4 linked regions of the Cricetulus griseus genome follow. The protein of the gene in region 3 interacts with the protein of the main gene of each other region in a pairwise test. Links are inferred from orthologs where the notes say so. Each region holds a gene or a part of one and is shown on either strand. Other genes may lie near its edges.

Region 1 (4,142 bases), on a different chromosome or scaffold from region 3:
TATGTATTCTATAAAAGTTTCCATTTTATGAAGTAAAAGCTTTTTAAAAATGGGACCACAGAATGGGAAAAATATTTTTTAAAAGTCATCATTAAGATTCAAAAGCCTATACTGGGTATGGTATTGAACACCAGTAGTCCTGCCGTCCAAAGAGACTAAGACAAGAAGCCTGGGCTTCACAGCGAGATTGTCTCAAGACAGAAAAAAACTCAAATTCCCACAAAAAAAAAAAAAAGAATACTTTTCCTTCAAGCTAACGAAGTTTAGATTCAAAGAAACAATTAGTCTTCATCCTGGAAAATAGGAAGCAAATGTAGCTTCTAATTACACTTATCAAATCTTAGTCACGGACACTGAGTATTGTGTGACATGGCTTTGGGTGCTGAGATAAGGAAGTAAATAAAGCGCCATCACTGGCTTCAGAGTTGGTGTCCTAGAGCTGGACCCACTACCTGAAGTCATCAACTGCTTTAGGGAACAAACCAAGCTCAACTCCAAACTCAGCCAACCTTGGCGTCTTCTCAAAAACCAAATAATGATCTGATTGCACTGAGGCACTAATAAAATCCATTTCTTACTGATGGAATTAGCTCCCATAAAGGAGTCTGCAAAAGTGTAGAGGGCAGAAAGTATTTAAGGTAAACACTGACCTAACAGAGAAAAGAAAACAAACAAGCCTTCAGTATTCTGCTCTCTCAGAAGTTAAGAATACCAAGAAAAATTTCATTCTCAGTCTAAATGTCTAGAGACAGGCAGCCCCATAAATGTGGTCCATGTGCAAATATCTTATGTGTGAGTCATTAACCAACCACATCTGCAAGTCAGTTGTCGGGTTTCAAAGAATCATAGCCTTCTTTCAGGAGGTCCCGCCACGTCTTAAGGAAGCGTGCATTTTCTGTACATTTCAGGGCAAGCTCTTCCACCTGAGCGGATACCGCAGATGTGGCTTCAAGAAGTTTAGTTAATGAAAATGCTGCCTGCAATTTAAAGAAAGAAAAGTGAAATGGGTTTGTTTGTGGTCCTAGGAACAAAACCCAGAGCCTCCACCATTGGGGTACACCCTAAATCCCACACATGCTTATTTTTTAAATTCCTATCTAATTTAGATGAGAAGTTTAACTTCTCGTCGTCTAAAAATAGCTTAAAATCTCCAATCAAATGATCATGTATTTTTCTTTGAGAGAGAGAGAGAGAGAGAGAGAGAGAGAGAGAATTTTCAAACAAGAATACTACTATTTCTTGAACCCAAACCATCAGAGCAGGGCAGGCACATAGTTCTTTCCCTGAGCTACACTCATAGCCTTTATTTTTTTTTCATTATGTAACTTGAGGCAACATATCTGCCATAAAAATACTCATTGCACGTGACACATGGCAAGTCATTGTTTTTAAAGGAAAACACACCCAACTCTCATGTATTTCACCAAGGCAACTTGGAAAGCTCTTGACTAGACGTGACAACCATCTAAAAGACTTCCTTATAAACCACTCTTGCTGATAATTAGGTAACAAAATCACTGTTCCAGTATTTTTACCTATGAATACTTTTTTTTGAATACAAAAAGATGTGAAATCGAAGACCTGATACTCTGAACTGACAGAACATCTAAAATTACACACACAGCTATGAAAAACTCACTTTTAAATCAAATGGTTTCTTCATTAGAGATATAAAATAGCACTTTTTTTGGACATGACATAGGTACTTGGTCTACACATTTATTTGTAACCAGTATTGTTTCAAAAAAAAACAAAACAAACAAACAAACAAAAACCCTGGAGCAGCACTTCAGCCATCTCTTTAAAAAAATCAAAAACTTGTAGCTCAGTTCCCAGTTTCCAATCTTCGCCGGGCTGTCCTTCCAAAAAGCTCTCCCAGGAAGGTTACCCGCTAACTGCTACATACTTCATTTGGCTCGTCGTCCTCTCAAGAGTCCCTAGAAAGTGAAACTGACACCCTCCAACCCCCTCAGCGGTACGCGTGTTGAGGTCGGGTGGAGATTTCTGGGAATTCGAGATTGTACAACAACTTTACAAAGTGTTTGCACTGCCGGAATCAGTGAGGCGTCCTGTCTAATCCATCAGGGAAGCCGATGACCTCAGCGGCCGGCTGTGATTAGCCCTGGTCCACGTTAAGTCCCACCCAGAACGAGTCTGCGACACACAATAGTATCACCAGCTGGCTCTAGGCTGGTGGCAAGCTCAAGTCCCTCCGAAAGAGCCAATGGGCAGGCAAGGATGCTATGACTGCCCAAAGCACTCTGAGAGATGCAACGGGAGGCGGAGAGCTGACCCCGATGGCGATGCTGAGGGGACAGCAGCGGGAGAAGGTCAGAAAGGAGCGGGCGGACAGAGCAGAGGCTAGCCCTCAACTCTCTGGCCAAGAATCGCAGGCAGGAGCACCCGGGCTACAAGCTGCGACCCGGCCCCGGCGACACTCACGTCTCCGATCTGCAGCTCCACTTGCTCCAGAGGGTCCACCGTTGGGGCGTGGGTTCGACTCGGACTCCGCCAGCCCAAACTCACTGGCATGCTGAGAGACGACGAAGAGGCGCCTGAAGACGGAGACGAGGGAGGCGGCGGCGGCGGCGAAGCCCGAAATTCCTCGGGGTCAGCCATGGGGCTGGGCCGGGGCCGCCGAGCCGGACCAAGTAACCGAACCCACACCAACTGCCTTTCAACAGCTCGCGCCCAAAGCCCATAGGCTCCGCCTCCTCCCACACGGGGTCCCGCCCCATCTTCTCGTAGGTCTCAACCCTGTACCACAAGGACTTTTCATTTTCCCAGACAGCCAATCAGATGTGAAGCCAGTCGTCACCCCGTTCCTGCGCACACCTTCCGGTCGGCTCGCAGGACGCTGGAGCTGGACACTACAACTCCCAGAATGCTGAGCGAATTGTCCCCGCTATGCTTGCAACGCGCGTGCGCTCAGTCTGGGGGCGGAGCCTGTAGACCTCTTCCGCACACTCGGTTCCTGGATAAGGGAGGATGGCTGGGAAATGGAGTCTTCTGACTTTTTTTTTGCTGATACGTGACCCGGAAACCTTATTGGCCGTCGCGTCCTCCGCGGCGCCGGCGCAAAGCAGAAGAGAGGCGGGCACGCCGCGATGCAAGGGCGGTCGGCGCAGCCCAGGGACTGACTTCAGCCGGGCAGTCGGGGCTTCTTGGCAGGTGATGGCGCCCCCCGTGGCCTGAAAGTCCAGCGCCCTCGGCAAGCGGCAGACAGGCCTCTCTCCGTGTGTCTTTGTCAAGTCTCCGGGCTACTTTGAACATGCTGGTGCGGCTAGCCAAGCTGTCCTGCCCTGGTGAGACAGAACTCCTGGTGGGGACAGACAGATCAAGATGGATAAGTTGGGGCATACCTGGGGAACTGCAAGCACCTCTCTCCTTATCTGCTTCTTCGGCTAAACTGGAGCAGAGATCAATGCTGTCAGCGCCTGTTGCTGGACCCTGACTTCCCGTCCTTGACATTGTCCCAGTCGGCAAAGTTAACTTCTAGGTTAAAGGTCATGAGCGCAGGAAAAATGTCAACACTCCACTCCTCTGTGGAGTCCTCCCAAATCCCGGTCCTAATCTTTATCCCAAGGCTCAGGTAGTATCTGCTGCCTTGTTAGGAAAGGGAAAGAAAGGAAAACTTGTGTGGGATTTCTTCTTGACTCTGACCTGACTTTCGTCTTTGTAGCCATTCTAGTCCAGTCTTTATTATTATTATTATTATTATTATTATTATTATTATTATTATTATTATTATTATTATTAGTTTTTCGAGACAGGGTTTCTCTGTGTAGCTTTGGAGCCTATCCTGGCACTCGCTCTGGAGACCAGGCTGGCCTCGAACTTACAGAGATCAGCCTGCCTCTGCCTCCCAAGTGCTGGGACTAAAGGCGTGCGCCACCAACGCCCGGCTTCTGGTCCAGTCTTAATGTGAATTCTGAGCTGTCATATCGTGTTAACCCATGTGCTGCCCGTGTCACCAGTTGTGTCTGGAGCTCCAAAGTTTTCTGCATTATTCTCAGTTAACTCCAGGCGCTTCTATTATGAGTGCTTCTTAAAGCGGTTGGATTTTTTTTTTTAATTTTACTTAAAAACAACCCCTAATTCAAACGGAAGTTTAGAGGCTCTTGAATTCTGTTGTAACTGGC
Region 2 (4,178 bases), on a different chromosome or scaffold from region 3:
GACAACTGAGCCCACTCTCACCTGTATCTGCGACCTTCTCAAATTGTCCAGACACTCCACTAAGGGACAGAGCTTGTCAGACATATTAATAAAAAACAGTAATTTTTTTGTACCAAGTAGAAAGAACCACCATGAGGTAGGACTGGAAATGGCCTAGAGACAGAAGGTCACTCATTTTATATAACATCAGTGTTCCCTAAGCAACAGAGGCCCAGCAATGTGCAACCTACACGAACACATTTTCAATACAGACACATGCCACATGACATTCAAGTCAACAACAGACTGCATATAGCAAACACAGGGTGGTCACATTAGAAAGGATCATCATGTGACAATGTGGTCACCTTAGCCTGTGTAATATTCACACAATGGCAATGATGACAAAGCTACACAATACATTCCTTCATAGAGCTGAACTTGGCTATGAAGTCACAAATAAACTAAAGATAGGAAAAGATCTATCACACAAACCGTGCAGGTTAAGCACCACTGCCCAACTGACTCTACTTAGAAAACCCCCAAGAGATGAAAACCCCTCTGTGTGTCTGTGAGGGCCTTTCTAGAAGCACTAAGAGCCACCGTGATATAGGAAGCACCATCCCACAGACTGAGGGACCCAGAAAATGAAAGAGGGAACTGGAAGAGCTAGTCTAACACCAGCAGCCAATCTTTCTGCTTCCTAGCCCACCATGACCTGACCTGTTCTGCTCGGCCACACCCTCCCTACCCTCTTGAAATCATAAACCAACATAAATCTCCCCTCCCTTGTAGCTGTCAAGTATTTGGTCACAACAATGACAAAAGTAACTAACAAACATTAACCAAGAGCAATCTGTGAAGGAGACATTAGCATCAGACAAAATAAACTTTAGGCTCAAGTTATCACATAGGATGCAGAGGCCCAGTTCCTAATGGCAGAAGGATCAGTAAGCTGAGGAGTAAATGAAAACCACACTTTACACTAGAAACAAAACTAAGAAAAGCATGAAGGAAATGGGCACATCGACCATTACAGCTAGGATCTCAATGCTTATTCTTAGGAACTGTCACAAAAGCAGGCAGAAAACTAGCAGAATACTAGAAAACACACACACACTCACCACACACACACTCACTCACTCACACACACACACATACACACTCACACACACACACACACACACACACACACACACACACACACACAGCCCTCAAGGTGACTCAGTGACATTTACACAACACTCACTATACAAAAGCAGTGGAAGCACCTTCTTAACACACAGAGCAAGCACTGAAACAGAACACCTTTAGGCCCATTAAAACAAGTACCATTAAGTTTAAAAGGACTCAAGTCACATAAAATAAACTTATCTTACTAAACTGGAATTAATTTAAAAATCAGTAACAACAGAAAAGTATCTTTAACCCAAAGTATTTGCAAACTAAATAATACATTTCAGTTCGCCACACACCTGTGATCCCAGCATTTGGAAAGTAGAGGCAAGAGAATCAGCAGTTCAAGGCCATCCTCAACTACACAGAGTCTGAGACCAGCCTGGGCTACACGGAACCCTGTCTCAAAATAAACAACAACAACAAAAAAGGAAAATAAATGAACAACAACAAAACACTTCACAAATGAAGAATTGGAAGGCACTTTGCAATGAATGAAAACAGCAACACAAGATATCAAAATATGAAATGTCCAGCACTGAATCCCCATGTTAGAAAAGACACTCTTGATTCAGTGATGGCAGTCTTTACTTCAAGAAATTAGACAAGAGCAAACCAAACTCCAAAGAAACAACAAAGAGACAACAGCAAAGAGTAGAAATCAATTGCATGAAAAAAAAATGGAAAGAAAGAAGAAGGCCAAGCAAAGTGGGGGACACCTGTAACCCAGTCATTCAGGAGGCTGAGGAAGGAAGACAGCAAACTCAAGACTGTACTATACAGTGAGCAGTGTACAGTACAGGAACAAAGAGAGAAAGAAAGGGGTAAATCAATGTGATTGCAAAGCTTTAGGCAGTCGATGATGAAATGCTATCAAGAAGAGGGGATGAACTACAGACTAAACAGTAAAAGGACAAAAGATAGCATCATAGACAACTTTATGCCAAGGACTTACATAAAATCAACAAGAGCCTTGAAAGACCTAAATGTCAATTATTTGGAAGGACAGACACATAACAGGGGGTATCTTCTGGATCTCAGATACATCAAGAGGGCCCATCTGCAACTGTTGCCATGGGGGGGGGGGGGTGTTTGCCTGATGGTGGCACTTGGCTTCCTTCTCTTATACATGTTAGTTCAAATTCAACGCTGAGGGGTCCTTATCTTTGCATTTGGTCACTTGCATTAATGAAGACAGATGAAAATTTCTTCTTTGCAGTATGCTAATAATCCAATGTTATCAACTTTCTCTGGCTTATTCACTTGACTCTGTCTACTGGAGCTCCATTAAATCAGCTGCTCATGCTTTCCTGATGTTTTCCATCTTTTCTGTTAAGCATTTGTTTACATCAACTCAGTACTGACGCCTTAGGTCCCAAGCTAACTAACCACTGCAAGATTTCTGCTAGTCACCCTTTCCTCACTTTTAACACCTTTCTCTAACAGTGAGAAACCTGGCTTCTACAATATACAATATATTGGTTATGTTCTTATACACTCATAAGTAGTTTCAAAAGCCCTACACATGACAAACAAGCTCATGAGGAGACAGCACTGGGCACTCAACACTGCTTCTGTCCTCGGTCTTCCAAGGCTCACCCAACCTTACCCAGGCACTCTTCCAGAGCTGCCCATGCATCACTTCAGGACGTGGGCTGTGCTTCTGCAGAAAGAGGCTTTGATGCCAGGGTGTATGTTCCATTTGGGGTTTCTCCATTCTGATGGGTCTAAACTGTTTATCATCTCCATATGTGATGACTAAGAAATAAAAACATGGGCTGATCTTAGTGGTGTTCACCTTTAATCCCAGCACATAGGAGGCAGAGGGAGATAGATCTCTGCGAGTTAGAGGCCAGTCTGGTCCGCATAGCCAGTTCCAGGCCAGCCTGAGCTACATAGTGAGACCCTGTAAACAAACAAGCAAGCAAATAAATAAATAAAATACAAGTTTAGTAGAAAAAATATCTATAAAGGTAATTTTAAATTTAAGTTTCTTGTGGTTTCTGCATAGGTCTCTCTTGCTGAAGGGAAGGTTTCACGTTATGGAACCTGATGCAAACACAACGCAAAGCAAATAGTACAACAAACCCAAGACACCAACTTCAATCATTATGAACACTCTGCCATTCTTGCTTCATCCACATCTCCTTCTCCACACACTGAATGCACAAAAACTAACTGTAAATTTTTGCAGGTAGGTGCAGCTACAATCTATTATGAGTTTGTTGGCTTGGGTTTTTATTGTTGTTTGTTAATGCACTGCCAAAAGCATGATGAAAATCAGCTTCAGTGCCATCTACTCAGAGCTCTGCTACCAGAAAAAAGGTTTTCAGAAGATGTCACCTTCCATGTGAGAGAGGCAGAGCCTATGGGGTCCTGGTCAGAGAAGAATTTAGTAGGGTCTGGAACAGGCTGCTATGATAGCACAAGATGGCTGAGTGCTATCTCTAGAGCTGGAAATCCTGCCTTCCATTAAATCACACACCAGCCTCTGGAGTTCCTTCTTGGCCAAAAGACAGTCCCTAGTGCTACCGCAGACTATTTCAGAGCCAGGCTGGGCCAGGGCCCATGATCCTAAGAGAAAGACAAAAAAAAAAAAAAAAAAAAAAAAAAAAAAAAAAAAAAAAAAAATCTGGATACAGAAGTAGAAGACTAAAGATGACTAGAAATGAGCAGACCGATGAACCAAGCCATTCATCACAGGTATGGGAAAACAGACCAAGGTAGGTCAGAAGACAGTTAGCATATAGGCCCGCTGGCCCAGGGTGCTCCAGGCACCACACAAATGAAAAGATCTGTCTGTAAGAGCCAGAGAGAAGGTAAGTAACTTTGATTTATGGGTACCTTGGCCATCCTGTTAACTGCAGTCTGAGACTGGGTACAAACTTCTACAAAGACATCTCTTGCTGCATTTCTCCTCGGGCTCTATACAGAATAAGTAGCATGATGGCTTCGTGTGCTAGTTTACCTGGGTTCCTCACACCTGCAACTTGGAAATTCTGAAATCCTAGTTGGCTTGACTT
Region 3 (3,993 bases):
AATGGATTCATGAACAGCAACCCCCGAGTGGAGTCCTGCCTTCCTAACAGATAGCTGGCTAGGATAGTGGTGCCACTGCCTATAAGAATACCTAGTATAAAGCCAGGTGGTGGTGGCGTACTCCTTTAATTCCAGTGCTCGGGAAGCAGAGACAAGCGAATCTCTGAGTTCAAGACCAGCCCTGGTCTACAGAATGAGTTCCAGGATATGTTCCAAAGCTACAGAGAAACCTTGTCTCAAAAAAACCAAAATAACCCAACAACAACAACAACAAAAACCAAAAATACCTAGTATAGAGAAAACAATATGTTCTTGAGAAACAGTTGTAAATTCTGTTCAAAGTTTAGTTCTAGAATGGCTCAGTGGTATGTTGCATGCACACAATCCTGGAATACCAAATACACAAAAGCATTTAACATACAAGTTAGCAAAATTGGAGAAAATATGCTCAAAAGAGCAGCCATTATTCTTTCAGCTGCATACTGACGAGCTAACAGCTGGGATTTCACGTCTCCTATTAGTACTCCATATGCTGTTTAAGCTATGGCAAAGTCTACTGTTGTGATAACAGATGTAAAAGGCTTTGGAAAGTATAGGAGAAATTCCAAGTGGAAATTGACAGTAAATAAGTTCAGATATTAGGATTTGCTAAACATGAAGATGTGACAACTTCATTTTGATCCGAAGTTAAGAATCCCACACATAGTCCCAAACGTGTTTTGTTTATTGCTCAGTAAATTGGGATATTAAAATTGGTTGTCCTGACAACTTTCTGGGGAAGCAGGTTAGAGTAGGCACTGGTTAGAGGAAAGCTGTGAAAACAGTAATCCTGTGTGAGAGAGAGCTTCAATTCAGGGCAACAATTATTAAATCACATTTCTATTATGAAGTGTTATATATGATGTTAGACAAGTATAACCAGCCTACCCTTGAAGATTTTGGATGTTTCTTAAATATGGCAAAGCAAAATCTCTTGCTTGGATTATATGAACTGCTTTCATATAGTAGAATGTTGCAATCGCATGATGACTGCTTCAGTCCTTAAGTATCAAAGTAGGTCATCAATCCTTATGGGGCAAATCTGAAATAGGCTAAGTATGTGACACATTCGTCTTCTGGACATGGAGAAATGTGATAGCAAATCGGCATTGTAACTGCTAGGTAGCTTCAATTATACAAGTACAGGTATCCATCTGGGCTTAAGTCGTTGCACATTAAGGGATCAAGACAGACAGAAATAAATAACAAATTACCACCTGTCCAGAGAGGTACCTGTTTTCTTTTTCTCTTTTCTAAGTAAGGGTCATTCAAGTCCACATTTTTCTTTTCTATCAAACTCAGTGGAATTGTGAACAAGTAGCCGTGTTTAATAGCCAACTCAAAGATGATAATTTTCACTACAAGTTTAGAGTGGAAATAATTCTCTAGAATAGAACAAACAGGATGCTTGGAAGAATTCCTGGTGATCACTCTGAATGGTGGTTAAGAATGTTTGCTCTGGAGTCTGCAGTGAAAACCTCATTTCCCCAACAGTATCTACTTGAGCCAGAGGTAACCTATGGCAACACATGATGTTATTGGGAGAATTAAAGGCGCCCATCATTGTGTTAAGAGCCTATCAGTGTCCTCAAGCGAAAAATCCTACTACGATTGTGCAAGAAAATGGGCCACTGGCTTCTAACTGAGGGCACTCTGAGATTGTTCTCAGGAGATGCCACAATCAAGAAAGCCAAGGCAGGATAATTTCTAATTGAAAATCCGAATGAAAAAAAAAAGGCATAATAGAACTCTTCTCACATAATTTCACTTGGCACCCGATAAACGACGCCAAAGTAATATATCAAAACAAAACAGTTTGACACCCAATTGTAAGTTGTACACTGGGGTGCTAAGGTCCGAACAGTGTCTACAGGCTCCTCATCCCGAGTGCGTGGGATCAAAAATACTAGCTCCCATATTCGGCTTTAGGGAGTCCACCTAACTCAGCTTCTGCTTTCTGGGAAACGGGATAACAAAACATCACTCTCAGAGAGTGATGGCGCGGGTACCGCACTGCTGTGCGGTACTGCACCCCCACCACCTGCAGCGGCTTGCAGACTCTGCGGGCCATGAAAAGCGCATGAGGGCGAGCAGGGCAGCAGGACCAGAAGCAGAGTCAGCAGCTTGCTTCTAGAGCGGGGCACACTGGTTCACCCCTGCCCACCTCAGAGGTCCCCGAAGGAGATAGATCCGCTCATCCCCCGAGAAAGCGCTTTCTTAAAGCGCCGAGCATCAGCCAGCGTTGCACATCCGCAGGGCCGAGGGCCGCGCGCTTGCTCCCGGCGGCCGGGATGGGCGGATCCGCTGCCAGGTGAGAGTGAGGAGCCCCCGGCCGCGCATCCCAGACCACCAGCCTAAGGAACTTTCTAGTACTTTCCACACCTGTCGCCTGCCGGGCCTCCACCCCCCAACCCCGGCGACCTCGCCCTCACCTTGTTGGAGGTCCCGGTGGTCGTACCACGGTTCATCTTCTATCTCAAACTCCTCCACCAGGTTATCTGCCAGCATGTCGCTGGGGGTGTCCGGGGGCAGCGGGCTCTGCCGCCACCGTGCCGTTTCGGCCGCTGCCCCGGGCTGTCCCCCGGCCCCTCCGCCCTCAGCCAGAGCCGCCCTCGGGCGGGACGCGCCGGCCCCGCCGCAACTCCCGCCGCCGGCCCGCGTCCGCCTCGCGCCGCCCAACGGCCAGCGCCCTAGAGAGCGCACCCCGGGTGGCGCCCGCAGCCGGCACCACACACCCGCTGCCCGGCCCAACGTGGCACTTTGGCAGAGCCCTCCCAGGCCGGGGAGACGATTCAAACCCGGGCGGCGCCTTGACCAATTGCGAATGGGTCCCTGGTAGAGCGACAGCGACTTCAGCCAATAGTATCTCAAAGAAGGTCGCGGGCCCGAGTGTCTTTGGCCAATAGACGCTCAGGAAGGAACAAAGGAGGCGGGTAAAGGCGGAGAGGGTGCGGCCGGCAGCCCCGCCCCTTTTGTTAGCGTCTCGTCTTCTCAGTGAATACACTCCTGTTCCGGAGCCTGGTGGAGGCGGCTGCGGCGACCCTCTCGGCTCCCTGGCGTGTCTTGTACCCAACTGAGGAGGACTCCCGGCTCTGGGCAGTGGGCATCATTTTCCCACCGAAGGTTTCGAAAGCGGGACAGCCCTCCTCGGCTTTGCCCTCGGTGATGCGCGGAGGGAGATTCAGGGTCCGTCGCGAGGTTAAGGCCGAGAGAACGCTATTGAGCCTAAGCTGCTCCTGAATGTCTGAGTTTGGGGGGATGGCAATTAACTCCTAAAACGGCGGTCACCAGCACCACTTGACATTCGAAGGCTGGGACCGGCCCGTGGGAAACGCCTCCCTTGGCAAAAGTTGCCAGCAGTTTTGCATAATTTTTTAAACGTTCATAGAGCCCAAGGTAAACATCTGGGAGCAGGCATTGCACTTGTGGCCAGCAGGGCAGTGTCCGCTTGGTGACGCAGACGTAATTGTTTCTTGGGTTGAGCTTTTAGCACCTTCGGGTGCCTCACGTGAAAACTCTAAAACGGAGAAAGGTCGGCGCAGCTGTTAGGATGTTAGAGCTAATAGATAATGTCTAAGGAGGAAACGAGAAGAATTATAACAAGTGAGGGGAGAGAAGTCAACGTTTAGCTTTGGCAATAGTGAGTCGCTAGATACCTCTTGAAGTTAGTAACGCCTTCATACACATCCGGAGTGTCACCAGAACTAAGATGGAAAGCAGTTATCCAAAAAAAAAAAAAAAAAAAAAAAAGTACACAAATTACTATGGTTAAAAATAGGAGAAATTGCTAGGTAGAAGTTACAGATCCTCAGCTACTTTTGTTTTTCCATATAAACGAATAAGGTCTTGGGTAATTTGGAGAAAGGAAAACTTCATCCTAATTTATTTTTTCAGTGCTAAGGATGAACCTAGTGCCTCGTACATGCCAGACAATCACTACCCCTAAGCTACATC
Region 4 (4,174 bases), on a different chromosome or scaffold from region 3:
CTTGTCCAGGGTCACATAGCAAGTGATAGACTGAGATTCAAGGTCAGGTTTCAGAACTATCAATCTAAGCTGCCTCCTACATGTGTGCACCATTGGAGACCTTGGCAGACCCTCTGAACACCTGATAAGAGAAATACAATTGCTTGCCTTAATGACAGATGTTACTGCCAGAGACTATCACACACACACACACAACACACACACACACACACACACACACACACACACACACACACACACACACACACACACACACACACACACTGCTTGCCACATAGCTGGGTCAGTGTTTATTGAATGAATACATCTGGGAAAGTAGGTCGGACATATCAACTATTCTTCCCTTCCTAACTCACTGCCCATTTTCAACTCTTTCCAATATTTAGTTGTTCAGTATTTTTCAACCACCCACATTAACCTTTTACATTTTCTGCCCGAATAAAGACCCATAAGTGAACTTCAAGGATGTAAACACTATATGGAGAACAGTACTGGACACCCCCAGCTCAGTGATAAACTCTCATTACTCCATTGTCCATTTTGTCCTTAGGAGTCCATCTTTGTGCTGTTTGTATGCCTGGCAGACTCTTGATTATGAAACCAAGTCCAAGGTGACCCATCCATTAAGTCAACTGCTCCTCCCTCCCCTTTTCTCCATCTCCTCTTCTCCACCCCCTCCCTTTCTTGTGGAGGAAGCGGGTAAAGTTTTAATGGAAGAGAACAGATTATCTTTCGTGATGGAGTTGAGACATAGAACTGAATTTTCTTAATTGGAACCCGGAGAATCTGTCAACTTTGTTATAAAGTATGATGGCGAGATTTCTCTCTCTGTGTGTCTCTCTCTCTCCTCTCCTCTCTGTCTCTGTCTCTCTCTCATGCTTGAGACTGTACTTGAGAAGCTAAAAGGACAAGATATTTGACTTTGGAGATTTATGGAAAATCAGGTTTAAATGTGGACAAGAACGCACTGTTCTGTTGGTCTCAAGTTGGGAAAGTCAACCAACTTTTGGTTCGCACTAAATACACTGACAAACATTGAGATCAGATGATTAAGCCGGCAGTTCCAGGCAAGAGAGGTTCTCTCTTCCAGCCAGGGGCTTGGTCCGCAGTCGTTGTTTGGGCTAGAGATGAATTCAGCTTGGCTCTCGGAGTCGAGCCAGGGTCATCGCCCCCGTCCCCACAGACGCCGCCTTCCGGGTCGGTGACCCTGGAGCCTGGGGGCGGGGCCGCGCCGGGTAGAAGCCGAGGAAAAGGCCGGCGTCCCGGGAGCGCGCGAGGCCTGCCGCGTGCGCGCGCCCGCCCCACGCTCGCGCCCGTCAGCGCGCCCACGCCAGCCCGCTCGCCGCCCGCCCGCCCGCTCGCCCGCGCTCCCGGGAAGTCTCGCGATGCGGTAGCCGGCTGCTCCTGCTGCGGGTGGCTCTGGCTGTTGCTGTGGTTGCCGGAGTTGCGGGCGGCGGCGGCTGCGGCGGCGCTGGCGGGGGTGGCGGCCCCGGCGGATGTTGACATTGTGTTGTTGTTCCTGCCCACGGTAATGGCGGCGGCGGCGCCCGGGACCGGGTCTCCTCAGTAGCCAGAGCCGACACTGCCGAGCGCCAGCCCCGCGGCCTCCGCGCCCGCAGCCTCGCCAGCCGTTCTCCGCGGCCGCCCCAGAGCCAGGGCCCCGGGCGCGGGGCTCGCAGGCGCGGGATGGCGGATTTCGATGAGATCTACGAGGAGGAGGAGGACGAGGAGCGGGCCCTGGAGGAGCAGCTGCTGAAGTACTCGCCCGACCCGGTGGTGGTCCGCGGCTCCGGTCACGTCACCGTGTAAGGCCCTGCGAGGGCTAGGAGAGGACGGGAGGCGCGGGCTGGGTGGGCCCCGGTACCCCTCGGAGTCGTCCTTCCTTGAACCCCTGTCTCCGGTGACTGGCGCGGGATGGGGGCCTTGTGGAAACGCCAGCGACCAGGAAGTGAGAACTTGCTCTGTTGCCGTTTGTTTAGGACTCCCAAGTGGGGACAGACACTGTCTTCCCTCCCTCCCAAGCCCTGTAGCAGGCCCCACGGCCCTGGGGATGTGTGGGATCCCAGCAGGAAGGATGGTCTGCTTTATGGGCCATCCCTTCTGCCCAGGGATGGAAGTGCATGTGTATTTTTGGGATCCATCCAGGTAAATTGCCCCTCTCCCCCGTTATTCTTTGGGACTGTGCCTTACGGTCTGTTGACATATGGCTCAGAGGTAAGATCAGGGATGTGAGACCCCACTGGCAATTGATAAATAAGGTTCACCGTCTTGTTTTTGACACATACCCACAGGGCTTCAGAGTTCCCTAAGAGTACATTTCTGCAGAACTAATTAAGTCTCTGCCATTATATATAATAGCAATATATAGGTGGACATAAAAATAGGCAGAAAGATACATGTTTGCAACGAATCACAAGTCCTGAGTGTCCTGTAATCGTTCTGCTTAGGGGCACGGACTCTAGGTTGGCTTCTTGTTTGATAAGGGTTCCTGTAAGGCTTATTGGCACCATCAAAAGTCCAATATTCAAACACTACGGGATGAAAGCACCCTGAAAGGTCATGACTAATAAAGGAATGTGTAGACTTGAAGCAAATAATGAGCTGTCCGGAAGGAGGAAGTTTTATAAGTTTTGCAACATTTCTCTGATAAGTCCGGAGTTGGGGTATCGATACTCCTTCGCAGCTGGTATCTCTGGTTAAAAGTCACAGCTCACACTTCCTGTACTTGCATGTCGAGTTATCACTGATATAAAAAGGGGGCGAGCCTGAAGATGTCTGGAGCACTCTTCATTGTGTTTTGATGTAGGGTGAGTGGGATGTGCTGTGAATAAGTCAGTGAAACAGTGAGACTTCTCATCCGATTGTCAGCAGAGCCCTTGCATTTCTCAGTGTTGTTGAGAGCAGTCATACTGACAAGCCATGTTGTTGTTTGGATATGCTTATGTAATGCTTTGGTTTCTTAGCATCTGTTAAGTGTGTATTTAGGTGACTTAACAGGGTAAAAAGACTGCATAATCATTGTCCCAGGACCTGGGATAAGGAGATGGGACTTGCACCATAATAACAGCTCTGTTTTAACTGTCATCACACGCTTAATTAAGGTATATAGCCAATAGTGAATAATACAACTTAAGTGTATATCTCAGTGTTTTTACTATCATAACCTGATATTTAATTTTTAGTTTGACTCTTAGGACTTTTTTCTTCTTGTTTTAAATGTAAAGAAACAAAAAGCCCACGGACTCAGTGGCACTTGTCTAATACCAACACTCAGGAGGCAGAGGCAGGTGGATCTGTGAGTTATAGGCCAGCCAGGGCTGTATAGAGAGACACTGGCTCAAAGGGATTTCCAAACTTTTTCATGTTATCTGTGATTGTCCTTAAAGTCCTCATGTCTAATCAGAGCTGGCAGAATTTTATTTACAAAGGTTCAGCCAGGGCTGGGGAAGAAACTCAGTGGTATAGAGTGCTTGCCCTGGGTTCAGAACAGCACAACAGAAAGAAAGGTTCAAGTACAGTTGTAATGTCTCTTCAAGAAGAAAAGCCAAACACTTTGTTGGGAAGTAGATAGGCAAAGTGCTCTGATGGTCAGTAAATTTAGGTTGTAGCCAACTATTTGGAGTGGTTAACAGAGTGGAAAACAATTATTAGTGGTTTTTCATCTTATCATCTGTTAGAATCACCTGGCATTGAGCTTAATAAGCATTAGCCTCTTTATTGTTATCAGTATTGTAAATAAGTACTGCCATTTGCAAGTCTAACAGTGATTCATTTAGTCTAGTTTGTCTGCCCATTAAAATCATCTGCGGAGCCCCTGCTTTTGCTCCATCCCTTCTCCAGGCCATCAGTCCACACATGAATGAGACTCTGGTGCATGATGGGGTTAGGGGAGGGTCTTGTAGGTGGTTCTGATTTGTAGCCAGAACTGTGCTCCAGACACTGGTGATGGTGGTGTTTGCACACAGTAGCAGCAAGCCTTCATATGTTTGTGATCTTCCTCAGGCACTTCTGGTAGCCTGGTTATAACCGTCTTCCGCTGCTTATATAAATTACCCATCTGTGTCTCTTCAGTTCACGTGATGCTAGCTAGGTTAAGGATTAAGTGAGATAATGTATGCAAAGAGTGCACCAGTGTGTTGCTGTGCTCAGGGAATACTAGCCTTTATTAATTATT

The links. The genes of interacting proteins can lie anywhere in the genome.
Region 1: the proteins of Cdr2 (region 3) and C1H4orf46 interact in binary tests that used the Homo sapiens proteins (3 or more experiments, as listed by UniProt). The two-hybrid records come from large-scale screens. The link is inferred for Cricetulus griseus from reciprocal best matches to the Homo sapiens genes CDR2 and C4orf46.
Region 2: the proteins of Cdr2 (region 3) and Hdac4 interact in binary tests that used the Homo sapiens proteins (3 or more experiments, as listed by UniProt). The two-hybrid records come from large-scale screens. The link is inferred for Cricetulus griseus from reciprocal best matches to the Homo sapiens genes CDR2 and HDAC4.
Region 4: the proteins of Cdr2 (region 3) and cysteine-rich hydrophobic domain-containing protein 2 interact in binary tests that used the Homo sapiens proteins (3 or more experiments, as listed by UniProt). The link is inferred for Cricetulus griseus from reciprocal best matches to the Homo sapiens genes CDR2 and CHIC2.

What each region holds. Positions count from the first base shown.
Region 1 is NW_023276806.1:74,581,990-74,586,131, forward strand, and holds the start of C1H4orf46 (renal cancer differentiation gene 1 protein), read right to left. Parts: upstream 2,806-4,142; 5' UTR 2,620-2,805; coding exon 2,443-2,619; intron 978-2,442; coding exon 822-977; 3' UTR 1-821. Other genes in the region: Etfdh (electron transfer flavoprotein-ubiquinone oxidoreductase, mitochondrial), read left to right, coding at 3,272-3,305.
Region 2 is NC_048595.1:443,657,389-443,661,566, forward strand, and holds the start of Hdac4 (histone deacetylase 4), read right to left. Parts: upstream 2,806-4,178; 5' UTR 2,791-2,805; coding exon 2,765-2,790; intron 1-2,764. UniProt on the Homo sapiens protein: Responsible for the deacetylation of lysine residues on the N-terminal part of the core histones (H2A, H2B, H3 and H4).
Region 3 is NC_048596.1:79,675,857-79,679,849, reverse strand, and holds the start of Cdr2 (cerebellar degeneration-related protein 2), read right to left. Parts: upstream 2,803-3,993; 5' UTR 2,548-2,802; coding exon 2,472-2,547; intron 1-2,471.
Region 4 is NW_023276807.1:141,545,306-141,549,479, reverse strand, and holds the start of cysteine-rich hydrophobic domain-containing protein 2, read left to right. Parts: upstream 1-1,369; 5' UTR 1,370-1,686; coding exon 1,687-1,805; intron 1,806-4,174.